Linked DNA regions of Mus musculus. The protein of the gene in region 1 binds, or shares a complex with, the protein of each later gene. Links are inferred from orthologs where the notes say so. Each region holds a gene or a part of one and is shown on either strand. Other genes may lie near its edges. The genes, in order: Lage3 and Gon7.

Evidence for each region.
Region 2: the proteins of Lage3 (region 1) and Gon7 are in contact, whole or in part, in a crystal structure (PDB 6GWJ), measured with the Homo sapiens proteins. The link is inferred for Mus musculus from reciprocal best matches to the Homo sapiens genes LAGE3 and GON7. Residues at the interface, in NP_006005.2 of Homo sapiens: Pro60, His61, Ile62, Phe63, Thr64, Leu65, Ser66, Val67, Pro68, Phe69, Pro70, Glu74, Arg102, Ile103, Glu111, Cys113, Leu116, Arg117, Val120, Ile121, Leu124, Asp125, Leu127, Ser128, Val131, Arg132, Met134, Gln135; in NP_115879.2 of Homo sapiens: Met1, Glu2, Leu3, Leu4, Gly5, Glu6, Tyr7, Val8, Gly9, Gln10, Leu17, Asp28, Pro29, Phe30, Gln31, Leu33, Leu34, Val37, Met40, Lys41, Val44, Thr45, Leu47, Phe48, Asp49.

Annotation. Positions count from the first base shown.
Region 1 is NC_000086.7:74,348,592-74,356,714, forward strand, and holds Lage3 (EKC/KEOPS complex subunit Lage3), read right to left. Parts: upstream 5,028-8,123; 5' UTR 4,937-5,027; coding exon 4,734-4,936; intron 4,412-4,733; coding exon 4,283-4,411; intron 3,908-4,282; coding exon 3,793-3,907; 3' UTR 3,571-3,792; downstream 1-3,570. UniProt on the Homo sapiens protein: Component of the EKC/KEOPS complex that is required for the formation of a threonylcarbamoyl group on adenosine at position 37 (t(6)A37) in tRNAs that read codons beginning with adenine.
Region 2 is NC_000078.6:102,752,309-102,761,385, forward strand, and holds Gon7 (EKC/KEOPS complex subunit GON7), read right to left. Parts: upstream 5,503-9,077; 5' UTR 5,438-5,502; coding exon 5,233-5,437; intron 1,859-5,232; coding exon 1,767-1,858; 3' UTR 967-1,766; downstream 1-966. Other genes in the region: Gm20604 (AK010878-Moap1 protein), read right to left, coding at 5,233-5,437; putative E3 ubiquitin-protein ligase UBR7, read left to right, coding at 5,721-5,870, 9,063-9,077. UniProt on the Homo sapiens protein: Component of the EKC/KEOPS complex that is required for the formation of a threonylcarbamoyl group on adenosine at position 37 (t(6)A37) in tRNAs that read codons beginning with adenine.

The DNA.
Region 1 (8,123 bases):
ATTAACCAATTGTAGAGAGATTAGCCTCAACAAAACTCCTGCACCTAAGGCTAAGAGAACTTTGTGGAATAGGAGACAAAAAGATTCTAATAGAGGACCAAGACATCTGTGATATTGTGTCTCTTAGAAATGGCAAGGAAGTCACAACCATGACACTTCAACAATATGGCTACCTAATACAAGACTTGAACATCGATGATATCAATAGACATACTAAGAATGGGGAAATCTACCAAGGTCCCAACTCTAGCAAAGAACTATAGGCATCAAATGACTGCTGGAAAAGAATTAGTCTCTCAGGGATGGACAGATGGTTCAGCAGTTAAGAGCACTAGCTGCTCTTACAGGGTCTTGAGTTCAATTCCCAACAACCATCTGTAATAGGATCCAATGCCCTCTTCTAGTGTGTCTGAAGACAGCTACAGTGTACTCATATAATATATATATATATATATATATATATATATATATATGTATGTATGTATGTATGTATATGTTTTTCAAGACAGGGTTTCTCTGTGTAGCCCTGGCTGTCCTGGAACTCATTCTGTAGACCAGGCTGGCCTTGAACTCAGAAATCCGCCTGCCTCTGCCTCCCAAGTGCTGGGATTAAAGGACTGCGCCACCACTGCCCGGCAAAATAAATAATTTTTTAAAAGTGCAGTTTTGAAGCTAGATGTGATGGTGCATGCCTTTAATCTCAGTATTCAGGAGATAGAGGCGGGCAGATTTCTATGAATTTAAGACCATCTTGGTCTAGAGTTCCAGGCCATCCAAGCTCAGGTCTCACACAGTGAGACCCTTTCTCATAATAGGAGAACAAGGAGGGCAAGATAAGTTGATAGTGCTGTAAAGATAGATTTTTCTCGGGGCTGGAGAGATGCTCAGAGGCTAAGAGCACTTGTTACTCTTGCAGATGACCTAGGTTTGGTTCCCCCACATGGTATCTCACAATTGCCTGTAACTCTAGTTGCAATGTCCTCTTCTGGCCTCCATGAATACCTGTACTCTTTCTTTGTTTTGTTTTTGTTTTTATTTATTTTTAAAGATTTATTTATTTTCTTTTTTTTGGGAAATGTTTTAAAAAGATTTATGTATTTATTTTATGCATGAGTACACTGTAGTTGTCCTCAGACACACCAGAAGAGGGCACGAAGTAGCATTACAGATGGTTGTGAGCCATGTGGTTGCTGGGATTTGAACTTAGGACCTCTGGAAGAGCAGTCATTGCTCTTTACCGCTAAGCCATCTCTCCAGCCCCCACATACCTGTACTCTTGTATACACACACACACAGAGAGAGAGAGAGACAGAGAGAGAGAGAGATTTAAAAATTAATGTTGGGAAAAAAGGAGGGCTGAAAGTATGGCTTAGTGCTTAAGAGCAACTGTTCCTCTTGCAGAGGACCCTAGTTCAATTCCTAACACCCATGCATTGACTCACACCCAAGGAAAGAGACTAAGGCCTGGGAAAAGAATCTGCTCCTGTGACAACTCTCCTTAGCCCTGAAAGCAAGACTAGTAGCTGCCTTCTCTTTTGGATGGCAGTAGGAAGGGTCAGAAAGGTCATGCCTCAGTAATGAGAAAAGCCTACTTCTATACACAGCTGCTCTGCTCCATGCAGCATTCCCTCAAAGTAACATACAAAGGTTCATATACCCTCCAAGGGATACAAAGAAGCAGGAAAACTCAACTCAGATGAAAGGAAAAAAATATTAGTAGAAAGGAAAAGGTACAATGGCTTTTATTCTGAGAAACATAACCTATACAGAAAATCTGATGGCATGTACAAATAAACCACTGGGCTGAGGGTAGCCACGTTGTAGGGCATGTTTTATGGGGAGTTGATGTCAGACACTTTTCCTTACAAGGTGGAGAAGCTAACTAAGCTCTATTTCTGGGTTATTTGTTTTTACATAAACAAAGTTTTTTGGGAGGGGATGTACTGGCATTTGGTTTAGGGGGGGAAATATTAGCAGCGCTAAGAATTTGAAAAAAACAGTATCTGGTGGGTAGACTTACTTTCAGGAGTACATTTACTAGGGTATGTCGAGAACATTCAAAGAAATCTTACTAAGAGCTCATAAACTAATCAAGAATAATCATTTGTTCAAACATGTATTTACAAGAATCATATCCAAATTATTTCTCAGGAAACAAGGCAGGAGAATCAGTGGTTCAAGGTCATCCCAGCTATTTAATGTGTCTGAGAACAAGCTGGGGTATATGAGACTCTTATAAAATAAAAGAAAAATTGGAAGAATGAAATGATTTTTTCGAGACAGGGTTTTTCTGTGTAGCCCTGGATGTCCTGGAACTCACTCTGTAGACCTGCCTGGTCTTAAACTCAAAAATCCTCCTGCCTCTGACTCCCAAGTACTGGGATTAAAGTCATGTGCCACCACGCCCGGCTGAATGAAATGATTTTTAAGTATTCAACAATTACATTAAATTGCACCACATATATGCCTATTTCAGTGTTTAAAAATTATTTTTTATGCACAAGCCGGGTTTAATGGTGAATGCCTGAGGTCCCAGCAGCACCTGAAAGTAGAGATGAGGATAAGAAACTGAAGAGTTTGAGGCCAGCCTAGGCTATGAGACCCTTTCTCAAAAAATAAAAACAACTTGGCTAGAAAGAAGGAAAATGCACTATAGGTGAAAAAAAAATCTTAAGAAGAATTATAATGCTAAACTTAAAATTTTTATTTATTTGGTGTTTGTGGTATGCATATGTGCAAACACTCTCCAAGGTCAGAGGACAACTTGTAGGAGTTGGTTTTTTCCTATCACTTTGTAGGATTCAAACCACCATAGCGCATGGAATTTTAATTTTCCTGTATTTCTGAAATTATCCTCATTCACTTTCTTCTAATATATTTTTACAGTACTGGGAATTGAACCAAAGACTTCATACATTTTAAATGAATACTCTTACCTTGTACTAACAAACACCTGAGCCGGGCAGTGGTGGTGCCCACCTTTAATCTCAGCATTTGGGAGGCAGAGGCAGGTGGATTTCTGAGTTTGAGACCAGCCTGGTCTACAGAGTGAGTTCCAGGACAGACAAGACTACACGAGAAACCCTGTCTTAAAAAAAAAGAAAAAGGGCTGGCGAGATGGCTCAGCTGTTAAGAGCACTGACCACTCTTCCAAAGGTCCCGAGTTCAAATCCCAGCAACCACATGGTGGCTCACAACCACTCGTAATGAGATCTGACACCCTCTTCTGGTGTGTCTAAAGACAGCTAAAGTGCACTTATGTATAATAATAAATAAATCTTCGGGCTGGAGTGAGCAGGGACTGAGCAAACGGAGTTGACTGGAGCAAGCTGGCTGACCGTAGCGAATGGGGTTGACCGGAGCGAGCAGCGGTCCTAAATACAATTCCCAACAACCACATGAAGACGCAAAACCATCTGTACAGCTATAGTGTACTCATATGCATAAAAATGAATAAATAAATCTTTTTAAAACAAAGAAAAGAAAAAACAAACAAAAGAAACCACCTGAATTCCAGAGCCCCTCCTCCAACACAAAATAAAAACCAAAGAAAATTTAGAGGCTGAAAATAAGCTCAAATGCAGATTAGCAACATAGCTTTATTTTCTTCAGCAACAAACATTGAAGCACCAGACCAAATGGCTCCTAAGTGCCTGAGGACCAAATCAGGAAAAAAATATTAGGCCCCCACATTTATGTAGTAGTTACTATTTCTAGAATCTTTTCCCTAGGGAAAATTGTATTGCTTAGGAGGAGACGGAGATAAGGTCAGACATGGGTCCCCAGCCAGGCTTAACAGGAAACTGGGGGCCCAAAGAGCTGTATGGTGTTCACCACTAGGGAAAGCTGGTCAAGAAAGTTGATGATGGAAAGTCGGAGGAGGCGAGAATCTTCCGCGATCCAGCGTCTAAGAGTGAGGAAAAGAACATCAAATTCAAACTGGTAGTTTCTACCCTTATTTCTTTCCTTTTATTTATTTTTTTTTTTTTGGAAATAGATAGAAAATCTCTCACTATGTAGCCATGGTTGGCTTAGGGATTGCTATGTGGATCTGGCTGGCCTGGAACTCACAGTAATCAGACCATCTGCCTTTCTCTTGGCTCCTACCCTTTCTTCATCTGTCAGGCATCCACTGTACTGCAGGTAGAGACTAGACTGGTCCAGTGCATCATGCCTTTCCTTAAAAATCACTCTAGTGTGATGATGTCTCTGAGGAAGTGCAGCCTAGGGTGGAGGATGGCCCAGACACCTACCCAGCATCCTAGACTCTTTCAACACTTACACCTCCAGCATGCAGCCGCTCACTTTAAGCTCCTTCCCTACCAGTCCTCGATGTGGTTCGACATCTGGAACTAGGGACCCACAGGCGATTTCTGCCTCCAAAGAGGTCGGGAAAGGCACGAAGAGGGAGCTGGTAGAGACTCAGGAAAGGCACCATCTTGAATCAACTTTGCCTCCTTACCCCTCTAAAATCATCGCATCTGGTCTAAGCTCCCCAGGCTATATCTTCCACATTGCTTGGGCCATTCCTGCTCATTTCCCTCCACCCTGCTGCCCCTCCTCTGTTGTCAAGGAACTTTTCATGCCCAGGCCATACCCCAATCAGCGGGTCCCTCTGCTTCCCTCCTCCCTGCTTTTTTTTCTTTTCTTTTCTTTCTTTTTTTACCCTCCTCCAGACTACCCGCTTCCCTGTTTCAAGCATCCCGCAGATATGTCCATGTCCGGTAGGATACAATCTGTGATGTCGGGTTCCAGGCCTTTGGGTTAAAGGCACCATGCTTTTGCTGGAATTTCGGGAGGCTTCCAGTGCTCTTGCAACAGGGTGAGCTCCACTGGGAATAACTGCCTTTGTGCCTGCATTACCAGGACAACAGCGGCTAGTCTGACCATCGGCGCCATCTGCAGTGTGGCTTAAACCTGTGTGTGCTGTCTGCATGTCTGCTGCTGTTCCTCCTTTCAACCCACCTTCGCGTTACCAGCCCGCCGCCTCTGCCATTGCTGCGGCCCAGAACCCGCCTTATCCTCCGGAAGCTCCGCCCCTCGCACAGGCTGCCATTCCACACGCGCCTGCGCGAACGGGGAAGGTGGTGGGGCCGGGGAGGGGCGAGGGGCGGGGGGGGGGGAGGGAGGCGGGGCGGGGAGGAGCGGTGGGGGGGGGGGGTGGGGGTGGGCAGGAGGACTCTCCAGGGATTTATAGGTTGATCTGGTCAGCTTCTGCCTCCAAAGTGCATCACCATGCCAAGTTGTCCCTACAGTTTCCTAAAAGGGACCTAAGGTGATATTTTCTAAAAAACAAAACCACAACAAAAACCAAAACACTATCAAACCAAAAAACTGTCAAGTGGCCTGGTGTGGTGATGCCTGAAGAAATCTTAGCATTTAGGACCATGGTTCTCAATCTGTGGGTTGACCCAAGTTGGGGTCACATATCAGATATCCTGCATATCAGATATTTACATTACAACTCATAACAGTAACAAAATTACAGTTATGAGGTAGCAATGAAAATAATTTTATGGTTGGGGTCACCATAACATGAGGAACATATTAAAGGGTTGCAGCATTAGGAAGGTTGAGAACCACTGATTTAGGAGGTGGGAATAGTTCTTTGCTTAAGTTGGAGGTCAGCCTGATCTACATAACCACTTCTAGGCTATCCAGACTTACATATTTATATCATCTCAAAAGCAGTCACAAAACAGAAAACCCCATCAACAAACAAATGAAGTGAAATGAGATTTTGAGTATCAGCAAGCAAGAGGTTTCTTTATTTTTCCAGATAAGTTCTCTTAGCCAGGGTTACATGCCTTTAATCCCGACACTTTGGAGGCAGAGCAGGTGGCTGTGAAGTTGAAGTCAACCTGGTCTTCATAGTGAGTTCTAGGACAGCTATATAGTGAGGCCCTGTTGAGGGTGGTGGTAGAGGGATCGGGAAAGGAAGGAGAGAGGGGGGACAGAGAGGACAGAGAGGAGAAAGAGGAGAGAGAGACTCTATGTAGGTCTGGCTGTCCTGGAAGTTGTTCTGTAGACCAGGCTGGCCTCAAACTCAGAGATCTTCCTGCCTTTGTCTTCTGAGTGCCAGGATTAAAACACAACCCTCACCCCAGCTAAATGTATTTATTTTTATTGTATGTGTTTGAGTGTTTTCCCTGTTTGTATATAAGTGCACCTACTGTGTGCAGGTCCTGGTATCTATGTGAATCCTGTAACTGGAGTTGTGGGTGGTTATAAACTGTCATGTGGGTGCTGGGAACTGAATCCAGGTCCTTTGCAAGAGCAGCAAGTTTTAATTACTGAAGCAGCTCCAGCTCCTCTCCTTGAACACCTTCAAAAGCCCTGAGATTTTCTTTTACAACTGTCTACAGCTTATCCTCCACAAAATCATTCCTAATTTCATTTTTAAAAATATGTCTTACTTATTCCTTGACAATTTCATACATGTATACTATGTATTTTGATCCTACCTATCCTCCAACTCACCTTTTTCACTTTGTCAGATTTGTTTGTTTGTTTGAGACAGGGTTTCTCACTCTGTAGACCAGGCTGGTCTTGAACTCAGGAATCCACCTGCCTCTGCCTCCCAAGTGCTGAGATTAAAGGTGTGGGCCACCACTGCCCAGCTTCAAAATTCTTATATAGATCATATGCATGCTTAAAATTCTGTAAATTGGAGCTGGAGAGATGGCTCAGCTTTTAAGAGTGCTGGCTGTTCTTGCAGAGGACCTGGGTTCCATTCTCACTACCCACCTAGCAGCTCACAAGAAATGGTTCAAGGGGGACCTGATGTCCTCTTCTGGCTTCCATGGGCACCAGTAACATGTCTGATGCACAGAGACACATAAAGGACAAACACCTATGCATATAAAAATAGAATAATTACATTTTTATTTTTAAAACTCTAAAAATAAGAATGGTGGCTGTGGGTTCGACAGCACTCATTAGGTATAGCACTTATATGACATTTCAAGGTCCTGGTTTCATTCCCAAAGTCTCTGCAGTAGTTTATAAGATCGTTGTATAATGTGGCTCAATGACTTCTTGGTCAGGGAAGAAATAAAAACAGAAATTAAAGACTGTCTAGAATTCAATGAAAATGAAGGCACAACATACACAAACTTATTGGTCACTATGAAAACAGTGCTAAGAAGAAATTTCACAGCACTAAATGCCTTCATAAAGAAATTAGAGAGTTCTCATACTAGCAAATTAATAGTATACCTGAAATCTCTAGAACAAAAAGAAGCAAGCACACTCAAAAGGAGTGGGTGGCAAGAAATAATAAAATTGAGGGGTGAAGAAGAAAAGAAACAAAGAGAACAGTACAAAGAATCAATGAAATAAGCTGGGTGTGGTGGCGCACGCCTTTAATCCCAGCACTTGGGAGGCAGAGGCAGGCAGATTTCTGAGTTCAAGGCCAGCCTGGTCTACAGAGTGAGTTCCAGGACAGCCAGGGCTACACAGAGAGACCCTGTCTCAAAAAACAAAAAACAAAAACAAACAAACAAAAGAATCAATGAAATAAAGAGTTGGTTCTTTGAGAAAATCAACAAGATAGACAAACCCTTATCCAAACTAAAAGACACAGAGACAATACCCAAATTAACAAAATCAGAAACAAAAGAGAGGCATAACAGACACCCAGGGAATCCAAAGAATCATGAGGACATACTTTAAAAACCTGTACTTCATCAAATTGAAAAATCTAAAAGCAATGGATAATTTCCTCAATAGGTATCACTTACCCAAATTAAATCAAGATCAGATAAGCAATTTAAACATACCTATAATGCCTAGTAAAATAGGAGCTGTCATTACGGCTGAGATGGCTCAGTGGGTGAGAGCACTGACCGCTCTTCCGAATGTCCTGAGTCCAAATTCCAGCAACCACATGGTGGCTCACAACCATCTGTAATGGGATCTGATGCCCTCTTCTGGTGTGTCTGAAGACAGCTACAGTGTACTTATTGATGATAATAAATCTTTTTAAAAAAGAAGCAGTCATTACAAGTCTCCCAATCAAAATTAAAAAAAAAAAAGCCAGGGGTCAGATGGTTTTAGCACTGAATTCTACCAGACTTTCAAAGACAAGCTAATACCAATATTCAAATCATTATATAAAATAG
Region 2 (9,077 bases), on another chromosome or scaffold:
GAGACTTGTCTTTAAAAAAAAAAAAAAAATCTAGGCAGTGGTGGTGCATGGATGGTTTTAATCCCAGCACTCATGAGGCAGAGGCAGGCAGACCTCTGTTGAGTCTGAGACCAGTTTGGTCTACAAAGGGATTTCTAGGACTGCCAGGAATACACAGAGAGCCCCCCCCCCCCCAAATTAACAAAACAAAACTTAAAACAGAGCAAATGATCTACCACAGAACTCATTTCCAGTCCTAAAGAGTGTTTTCATTTTCATTTTGAGATATTGATGTAAACCCAGTGACTTGTGCATATTAGACAAGCGTTCTACCACTGAGGTATGTATCTCCAGCCTCAGAAGCTATAAACAAACAAACAAACAAACAAACCAGGCTAATGGTTAGCTCTGTAACCTAAGGCAAGTAACTACTCTGAGATTGAGTAATTACTCTCCGAACTAAGTCATTATAATCTGTTGCATCTAAGAGTCTATGTACGGAGGCCCAGGATATATCTGTAATCCCAGCACCCAAGAGGTGACAAGCAGAAAGATGAGAGGTTTGAGGACAGACTGGGCTACATCTAGAGAGTTCCAGATCAACTTCAGCATACAGCAAAGCCTTGTCTCAAAACAAAAAGCCAGGCATGGTTGTGCATACCTGTGATCCCTAATACTCAGAAATAAGTTATTAAAAGTTCAAAGCCAGGCAGGCTATGTAATGATTTCCAGGCCAGTCTAGGCCACATACATAGCAAGACCCAGCCTCAAAACAAAACAGATATAATTAAAAGAATTATTCTAATCTCATTAGGTATATTTTGCATTTCAAGTGTCAGGATCAGGAAAGATGCACTGTAAATCAAAAAACCCCACTCTAGTTCCACCGATAAACAGCAGAAAAGGAACACATACAATATATTTTAGGAACTATTCAACAGTCCCCTTTTGAATAAAATTAAAAAAAAAGAGGCTACAGAAAATATGTAAGTTACAATCAATGTATTTTATTGATTTGAACCTCACATCTATACTTGTACAGACGTATATACACACACACAAATCATATTTCTCTTATCGATTCTTTTAAATATTAATTGCCTATGAACTATGATAAGCAGCTTTTATAAACACTGAAAGATGTAGACACACACCATTTGATTCAACGATCATTTTTTTTTTTTTTTTTAAAGATTTATTTTATTATTATATGTAAATACACTGTAGTCTGTAGACACTCCAGAAGAGGGCATCAGATCTTGTTGCGGATGGTTGTGAGCCACCATGTGGTTGCTGGGATTTGAACTTTGGACCTTTGGAAGAGCAGTCGGGTGCTCTTACCCACTGAGCCATCTCACCAGCCCTCAACGATCATTTTAAAGGAGAAAAACAAACATAAAAATTCATTTGCCAATTTAGATTTCATCCACTATGAATGGTTCCATTTTATTTTAGGATGAGAAAACAAAAGAGTTCACTCCCAAACTTTTGTTGTACTTTTCTTTGTTAGAAACAAGGAAGTTTGCTCTGTGATGAACTTGTTCCAATCAAACAAAAGAAATGAGTTCCCCAACTAGAGCACAGGTCTTCTGTAAGTTCCAGCAGGTGATGAAATGGCAGCGCTCTGCTATCTTGGCTTTTTGTTTTGAGGCAAAGTCTTGACATGCAGCACACAAGCTGGCCTCCAACTTTGAATTCTCCTGCCTCAGCCAGTGTAATTAACTGGGATTACACATATGCATCATCACACTCAACCTAGCAGCAGTCTTAATGTCCTAACACTATTGTTAAGATGCTGGCTTTGGACGTTTTGCAGATGGTCCATCTGAGTTAGTTCTACCAGAGTTATTTTCATCTTCTGCATCATCTTCATCATCACCTTTTAAAAATAAATGTTTGTTGTATGACATTATGTTTAGTGGATGAAGAAATACAAATAGGTAAAGGGACTGATCTGAGACCATTTCCCTTTGGGGACTCACAAACCAGACATACATGACAGTTTATAAATGCTAGGGGTGGGGCCAGTAGGACTGCTCAGTGGGTAAAAGTGAATGCAGTACAAGTTTGGTGACCCATGTTCAATCCCTTGAACCCAATAAAAAGGAGAGAGCCCACTTTACATATGCAACATGCTACCCATATACATTTAAAATAAGTGAATTTTTAAAAACTTGAGGAATTTGTTGAGTGTGATAGCCTTTAATCTTAGCCTTTAGGAGGCGGAGACACGCAGAGATCTCTCTCTAAATTCAAGTCCAGCCTGATCTACATAGTAAATTCCGTGGGAGCCAGGGCTACACAGTAAGGACATGTCTTAAAAACAAAGTAAATGTATACCTTTCATTATAGCACTTGGCAGGAAGCAGCAGGCAAATCTCTGAGTTCGAGGCCAGCCTGTTAATAATGTAATGCTAAATGCTGGCCCCCAAAGTCTTGTTGCCCCAGGGATGAGAGAATCCTCACATATATCAAGTAATGATATGTGACCCTGCTCCTTAATTTAAAACTATTGGTTGAATAAAGATGCCTATAGATGGATAGGAGAGGTAGGTATGGTTTCGGTTCTTGTGGATTGAAGAGAACCATGAAAAAAAGAAGATGGAGAGAAGACACCATGGGGTAGGTGAGTCATGAAAACATGGCCATGCCATGAGGACAGGCCAGTTGGAGTTAAGAGCTGCCCAGATAGAACACGGTAAGTTATAACCCGGGGTTATTTTGGGGGAAGTGGCTCAGAATAGCTTAGAAAGGAGATATTTGCCCAGCTCTAGTGCATTAAAACTGTATTATATCCCCGCACTCAGGAGGCAGAGGCAGGCGGATTTCTGAGTTCGAGGCCAGCCTGGTCTACAAAGTGAGTTCCAGGACAGCCAGGGATATACAGAGAAACCCTGTCTGAAAAACTAAAAACCAAAAACCAAAAAAAAAAAAAAACCCATATTATTACATATTATAAAACAGTAATAGAAGTCTTTTAATCTGAGAACTAAATGATCTAAGGTGGAGTAGAAACTCCTAATTTATTACAACCTATTGGCACCCAACATAGGGTATCATTTTGTAGAAGTCTGATTCCAGTTCCTCCTCCTAGACCAATGCTCCCAGAAATAAGACTCAGACTCAAAATATATATCCAAATACCTTGGCCATACAGCTAGGCTCTTCTCTAACTATATAATTAAGATAACCACTTTACACTTCCACCAACAATGTGGCCTGTCCTATCTTAGAATGACAAGTAATGTCAACTTGCCCAGCCCAGGTGAAAAGATATGGAGGGAAGCTTTTGTTTTTTGCCTGCTTGCCCTCACTGACTATCAAGTTCATCTATCCTGTTACTGAGAGGCCCAAGATACTCCTTTGTTGGTGTTAGAACCTACTCTTTAGGATTCCAACATAGACTGAAAACTGGCAGCTCTCTTAAGACTTTCCAGGAACTCCAGTACATGATTGGGACTGTTGAGACATCCAGTCTCATGGACCAAACAACTATCAGATGCTTAGCCTTTCTGTCAGGAGACTGCCAGTTTTGGGCTACTCAGATCACAGGCCATAAGCCATTCTAATAAATATCTTTATATCACACTTATTCTATCAGCTCTGCTCCTTTGAAGAACCGTGAATAATACATCTAGCTAATACTTTTTATTGTTTCTTTAAAAAAATTATTTATTATATGTAAGTACACTGTAGTTGTCTTCAGACACACCAGAAGAGGGCGTCAGATCTCATTATGGATGGTTGTGAGCCACCATGTGGTTGCTGGGATTTGAACTTGGGACCTTTGGAAGAGCAGTCAGTGCTCTTAACTGCTGAGCCATCTCACCAGCCCCTTATTGTTCCTTTTAATGACAGCCAATAACTATATTATAAAGAATACGGAAGTTTAATCTCCTCTGCAGAAGAATTGACTCCTTAGCTCAGAACAATGAAACATCTATCTTGGTGTTCAATTCAAGATTAGAAATAAATGTAACAACAGTGGAGTGTGGTGGCATATTTCTTTAATTCCAGCACTGCTGAGGCAGAGTCTGGCAGGTCTCTGCAAATCCAAAGCGAGGCTGGTTTAACCGTTACATGGTGACAATGTCTACAAAATAATTTTATTCCTATTAACAGAGCTAGGGCTGGAGAGATGGCTCCGTGGTTAAGAGCACCACCTACTTTTCCCCTGCATGTACGAGGCACCCTCTTGACTATCTGTAACTCTGGTTCCAGGGGATTTGATGCCCTCTTCTGGCCTCCGAAGGCACTGCACATAAGAGGTGTACAGACAAGCATGCAGGTAAACATCCATCTTTAAAAGCAAACAAACCCCAAGCCACCAAAATTAACAGTTAATTTCTACAACAGGAGAGGGGGTGAGAGAAAGTAAGAGGACGGGAAGGGCTGTAGTGCTTTCGGACATTATATAGCCCTTAAACTCTGGCAGCACAAGATGGCAACGTAAACATTCCATCAAGGAAGGGGGGGGCTCATGAGGCGCCACCCCTCTCAGAGGAGCGGTTGGCGGTTAATGGGGGGCGGGGGAGTCATTGTTTTTCTTCAGTGGTCTAGTCACTGCTGTGTTGCCCTAGTTCCAGTAAATATCATACAAATATCCTTAAATAAATCCAGTGACAAAAAAAGGCCGGAAAGAAAGGCGAGGAGCCCTGTCGAGAAGGGTTCAGCGGGGGATAGAGACCATGACCTGAATGCATTAATACATGAATGAAACGATCAATTAATTTAAGAATACCAAAAAGCTAAACTAAAAAGAACTCTTTTACTTTCGAAACAATAGCTACAAAACTGAGAGGGTTAAGATTCCCTAAAACAAAGTGGGCCTCGGTCATTCGAAGCTCTCCTCATTCTGTCAAACACGTTTTCTCGTTTCTAATTTCACTCCTTTCCGTTTTTCAACAACCAGGTCTACCTTCCCGCCCTTTCGGGTCTTCGTGCCAGCTAGCAATGGTTACAGACCGCCACTTTCTCTGCCTATCTTAATCCTTTGCGTTCTTTGCAAGGGAGTCAAGCTGACTTCGTCCGTTGACCAGTCCCTAGTCCAACGCTCGCCACGGTTTTTTTTTTTTTTTTTGGTGGGAAAAGTCGCAAAAACGGGGGGCGGTGGGATATCAGACAAAGAGGGCAGCGAGTTCTAAGGATTTTTAGAAGCGATTGCTCCTCTTCTCCGGGGCTCGCCTTCTCTAGCCTGCCCTTCACACTGCCCGGTCCCGCCAGTGTCCCCCGGCGCCCCGCCCCCGCGCTCACCATCCAAAGCGTCGTCCGGATCTTCCGCCAAGCCTTGCGCGTCCTGCTCCACTAGGGTCCCGAAGAACTCCGCTACCAACTCCTTCATCCGGACCACGCCCGCCGACAGGCTCTGGAGAGGGTCCGCGTCTCCCGACGCCTCACAGGACACTCGTAGCCGCTGCGGCTCCCCGTCACAACCGACGTACTCGCCCGAAAGCTCCATGGCGACCACTCAGCTTCAACAGCGCGCCTCGGAGAAACGCCACCCGGAAGCGGAAGCCAGCCTGCGGCCGGGGCGGGCGGGAGAGGCGAGGAGGAGGAGGAATGACTTCCGATTTCCCGAAATTGGCCCGCCCATTTTCTTCCGTGTCCTTCCTTAGGATTGGCTGTCTGGTGCTCGGGCTCCGCCTCCTCACGGGGCCCCGCCTTCTCGCGACGCCCCTGGCGGCGGCCACTTTTCCCGCCTCCTCCTGGGCCCACGCAGCGGAGCCCGGTGACAGTTGAGGATGGCCGGAGCCGAGAGCCCCACCGAGTGCCAGGCGGAGCTGGAGCCCGTGGTGTCGCTGGTGGACGTGCTCGAGGAAGACGAGGAGTTGGAGAATGAGGCGTGCGCCGTCCTGGGCGGCAGCGACTCGGAGAAGTGCTCCTACTCGCAGGTGCGCGCGGCCCGGCTGCTCCCGCCGTCCTGTCTGTTTCCCGCTGGCCGCGGCCGGGCCCACTCACGGCGGCCCTTTACTCTGTGCTTCTACAGCCCCGGCCCGGCTGCCATTTCATCCTCAGCTTGTCGCCACCAGGGCTGTCCCTCGGTTCCGCTGATGGTACACTGCAGGCTCCGGTCCTCCAGTTGTCGCCTCTTGGTGGCCTGCTTTTCACGAGGTTGTTCTCGTGATCTCTCAAACCCAGATATTCTTCGCTCCACTTCTCCCACCGCCCAAGAATCTTAATTAGGGACCAGATGGGGAAAAGTAAAGGGAAAGTGGGCCGGCTTTGAAAATCTTCCGGTGAGGTTCGGCTTCCGGACACTCCTGTAGTCTAGTTTAACTGCTAGCTGCCCCCACCTCACCCCCTTTCTGGTTAAATGAAGTTTCGTGTGTATGTGCTATGTGACATCCCCTCTCTCTGGGGACTGGAAAGCCAAGAGGAGAAAAGGATCTGTTTGGCATTTGTGGGACCTTTTGAACGAGAGAGTTTGAGGGGCTGAGATGTAGTGTTTAGTGACGCATACTGTACATTTAAGTACTAACGTGGAAAAGGGTGGGTAGGAAGGAAACTTAACAACAAGGATGAGAATTGGTGGAAGGAAACAGGCTAACTATGCCCATGGGTGGAGTGGGAGACTGGGGTAGGAGTGAAGGGACTTGGAGTTATGGTGTGGCGTGGACTGAAGTCATAATACTAGTTGTCTTCGTTGACCAAGTTGGGTTTGCACTGTAAAATTGTTGAATAAATCTTGTATCCCAGAAGTAGTCACAGCATGGTCGCTGGTATTTAAATTTGGAGGATCATTGTTAGGTTTCAAACCCTGGACTCTGCTGTTGTGCCTATTTAACATATCAAAGCCGATGGTGGCCTCCTGGTTCTCCCTGCCCTTCTGTCCCTTCCGGGACTCTCCTGGCAGACATACCCAATCCACTTTCCCAGACTTCTCCAGCCCAGGAGCCGGGCTACCCTTCCCCCAGCTTCCCTTCCCTAAATAATGCAGCCGTTTTGTTTATGCAGCTCTCTTGGGTCTCCTGGCTGTAGCACCTGGCTCCCCATCCCTATCCCCTACCCTTCCTTGCTCTTCTCCCAGGGCCCAGTTCAGAATCTTTAGCCTCTGGACTCTCCTAAAAGTCCTTGCCTCCGAGCTCTTCCTTTTATAGTAAACTTTTTCCTTCAACCTCCCAAGGAACAGGCATGTCCTTTCCTTTTTATTTCTCTTTTTCATTGTGACCATTAAACCACACACCCACCCCTTCATTGGAAGAAAGAAAGAAAGATCCTAAGTCTGTATGTAAGCTCTTTATTAATATACTTATTTTTATACAATACTAACTAAAATTGGGGGTAGGATCTTATGTCCCTCAGATCTGCCTTGAATTTTTGACTATCTTCACTTCCCAAGTGCTGCTGGTATTACAAGTGTGTACCACCATGCTTGGCTTAAAGTCTTGTTTCTGGTGAATTTTGTTTTTGTTTTTTGAGACAGTCAGATTGAGTGGTTCTAATTGGTCTGAAACTCACTATGTAGGCCAGGCTAACCTTGAACTCACAAGGATCCACCTCCCTCCCAAGTGCTAGGATTAAAGGCCTGGTCCTAAGTTTTTGTTTTTAAATAGTCATATCTCTATATAAGTATATCAATAATAATAATTATTTTCTTTTAGTTTTTTTGAGACGGAGTTTCTCTATGTAGCACTGGCTGTCCTGGAACTTAGAAATATGCCTCCCTCTGCCTCTCAAATGCTGGGATTAAAAGTGTGTACCACCACTACCACCTGGCAGTCTTTTGTTTTGTTAGATTTTCAAGTATTTGTGTGGCTATGTGCATGTGCGCACAGATGCTCTTGAGGGCAGAAGAATCTGATCCCCCTGGAACTGGAGTTGCAGGGGGTTGTGCGCTGCCAACACGGTACTAGGGACTCAATGCTAGTTCTCTGAGAGAGCAGTATGTGCGTTTAAGCTCTGGGCCATCTCTCTCTAACTCCAGGTTGATTTTAACAAGCTTGCTTACTGATGTGTGTGGGCACATGTACCACATAGCATATGCAGACAGGCATCAGGGAACAGCCTTATGGAAGCGGTTGTCCTCACCACCTCTGTATAGGTTCTGGAGGTGGACCGAAGGTTTCCGGGCTTACAGAGCCAGTGACTTTACCCACGGAGCTATCTCGCTGGCCCGGCAAATTCTTTAGTAAACTAGGAGCAGATTGAAATAGAATAGAAGTGTGTGTGGTAGTTCACTGGCAGGCTCAGTAAAGCATTTGCTGCACCAGTATGGACCTGTGCTCTGTCCCCTCTACCACGGCCCTGTGTGCTGAGAATCCCCTTACCAACACTTCTAAGTTTTGCTATTTTTCCTTCAACATTTTAAAACATTTGTCTCTGTTGAACACACTTGCCCTTTTTTATACTTCATTACTTGACAGTAAGTAGTGGGCATAATTATACTTCTAGATGCTTCCCCATACATCTCTCCCCAAATTAAAATGATTAATTTTTCTGTATGGTTGAATTATAAGAATTTCTAAAATAAGAAATGTGAGGGCTGGAGAGATGGCTCAGTGGTTAAGAGCATTGGCTGCTCTTCCAGAGGTCCTGAGTTCAATTCCCAGCAACCACATGATGGCTCTCAACCATCTGTAATGAGGTCCATGCCTTCCCTCTTCCGTTATGCAGGCATACGTGCAAATAGGGTACTCATATCCATAATATAAATAACTAAAACCTCTTTAAAAAAAGAAGAGAAATGTGAGCGAAGTGGTGGTGGCACACGGATTACCCAGCACTCAGGGGCCGAAGCAGCCAGATCTCTGAGCTAAGGCCAGCCTGGGCTACAGAGTGAGTTCCAGGACAGTCAGGGCTACACAGAGAACCCCTGTCTCGAAAAACCAAAAAAAAAAAAAAAAAAAAAAGGTGTATTAATCTTTTAAACCTGTAAACTGTAAACTCACCTTTATTTTCATGTGTTAAAATGATTAAACAGATCAAGTTATTCACAGATTTAAACTTCCTATTGCTATAAGAAAAAAATTTACATAAAGCTAAGCATCCGAATAGATCTGGGGCTTGAAATAGTGGTTTTGACCCTTTGTTGGTTAACTAGTCTTTCTGTTCTTCTTCCCTTTTGTTTTGGGCTGGTGTCTCAGGGCTCAGTGGGGAGA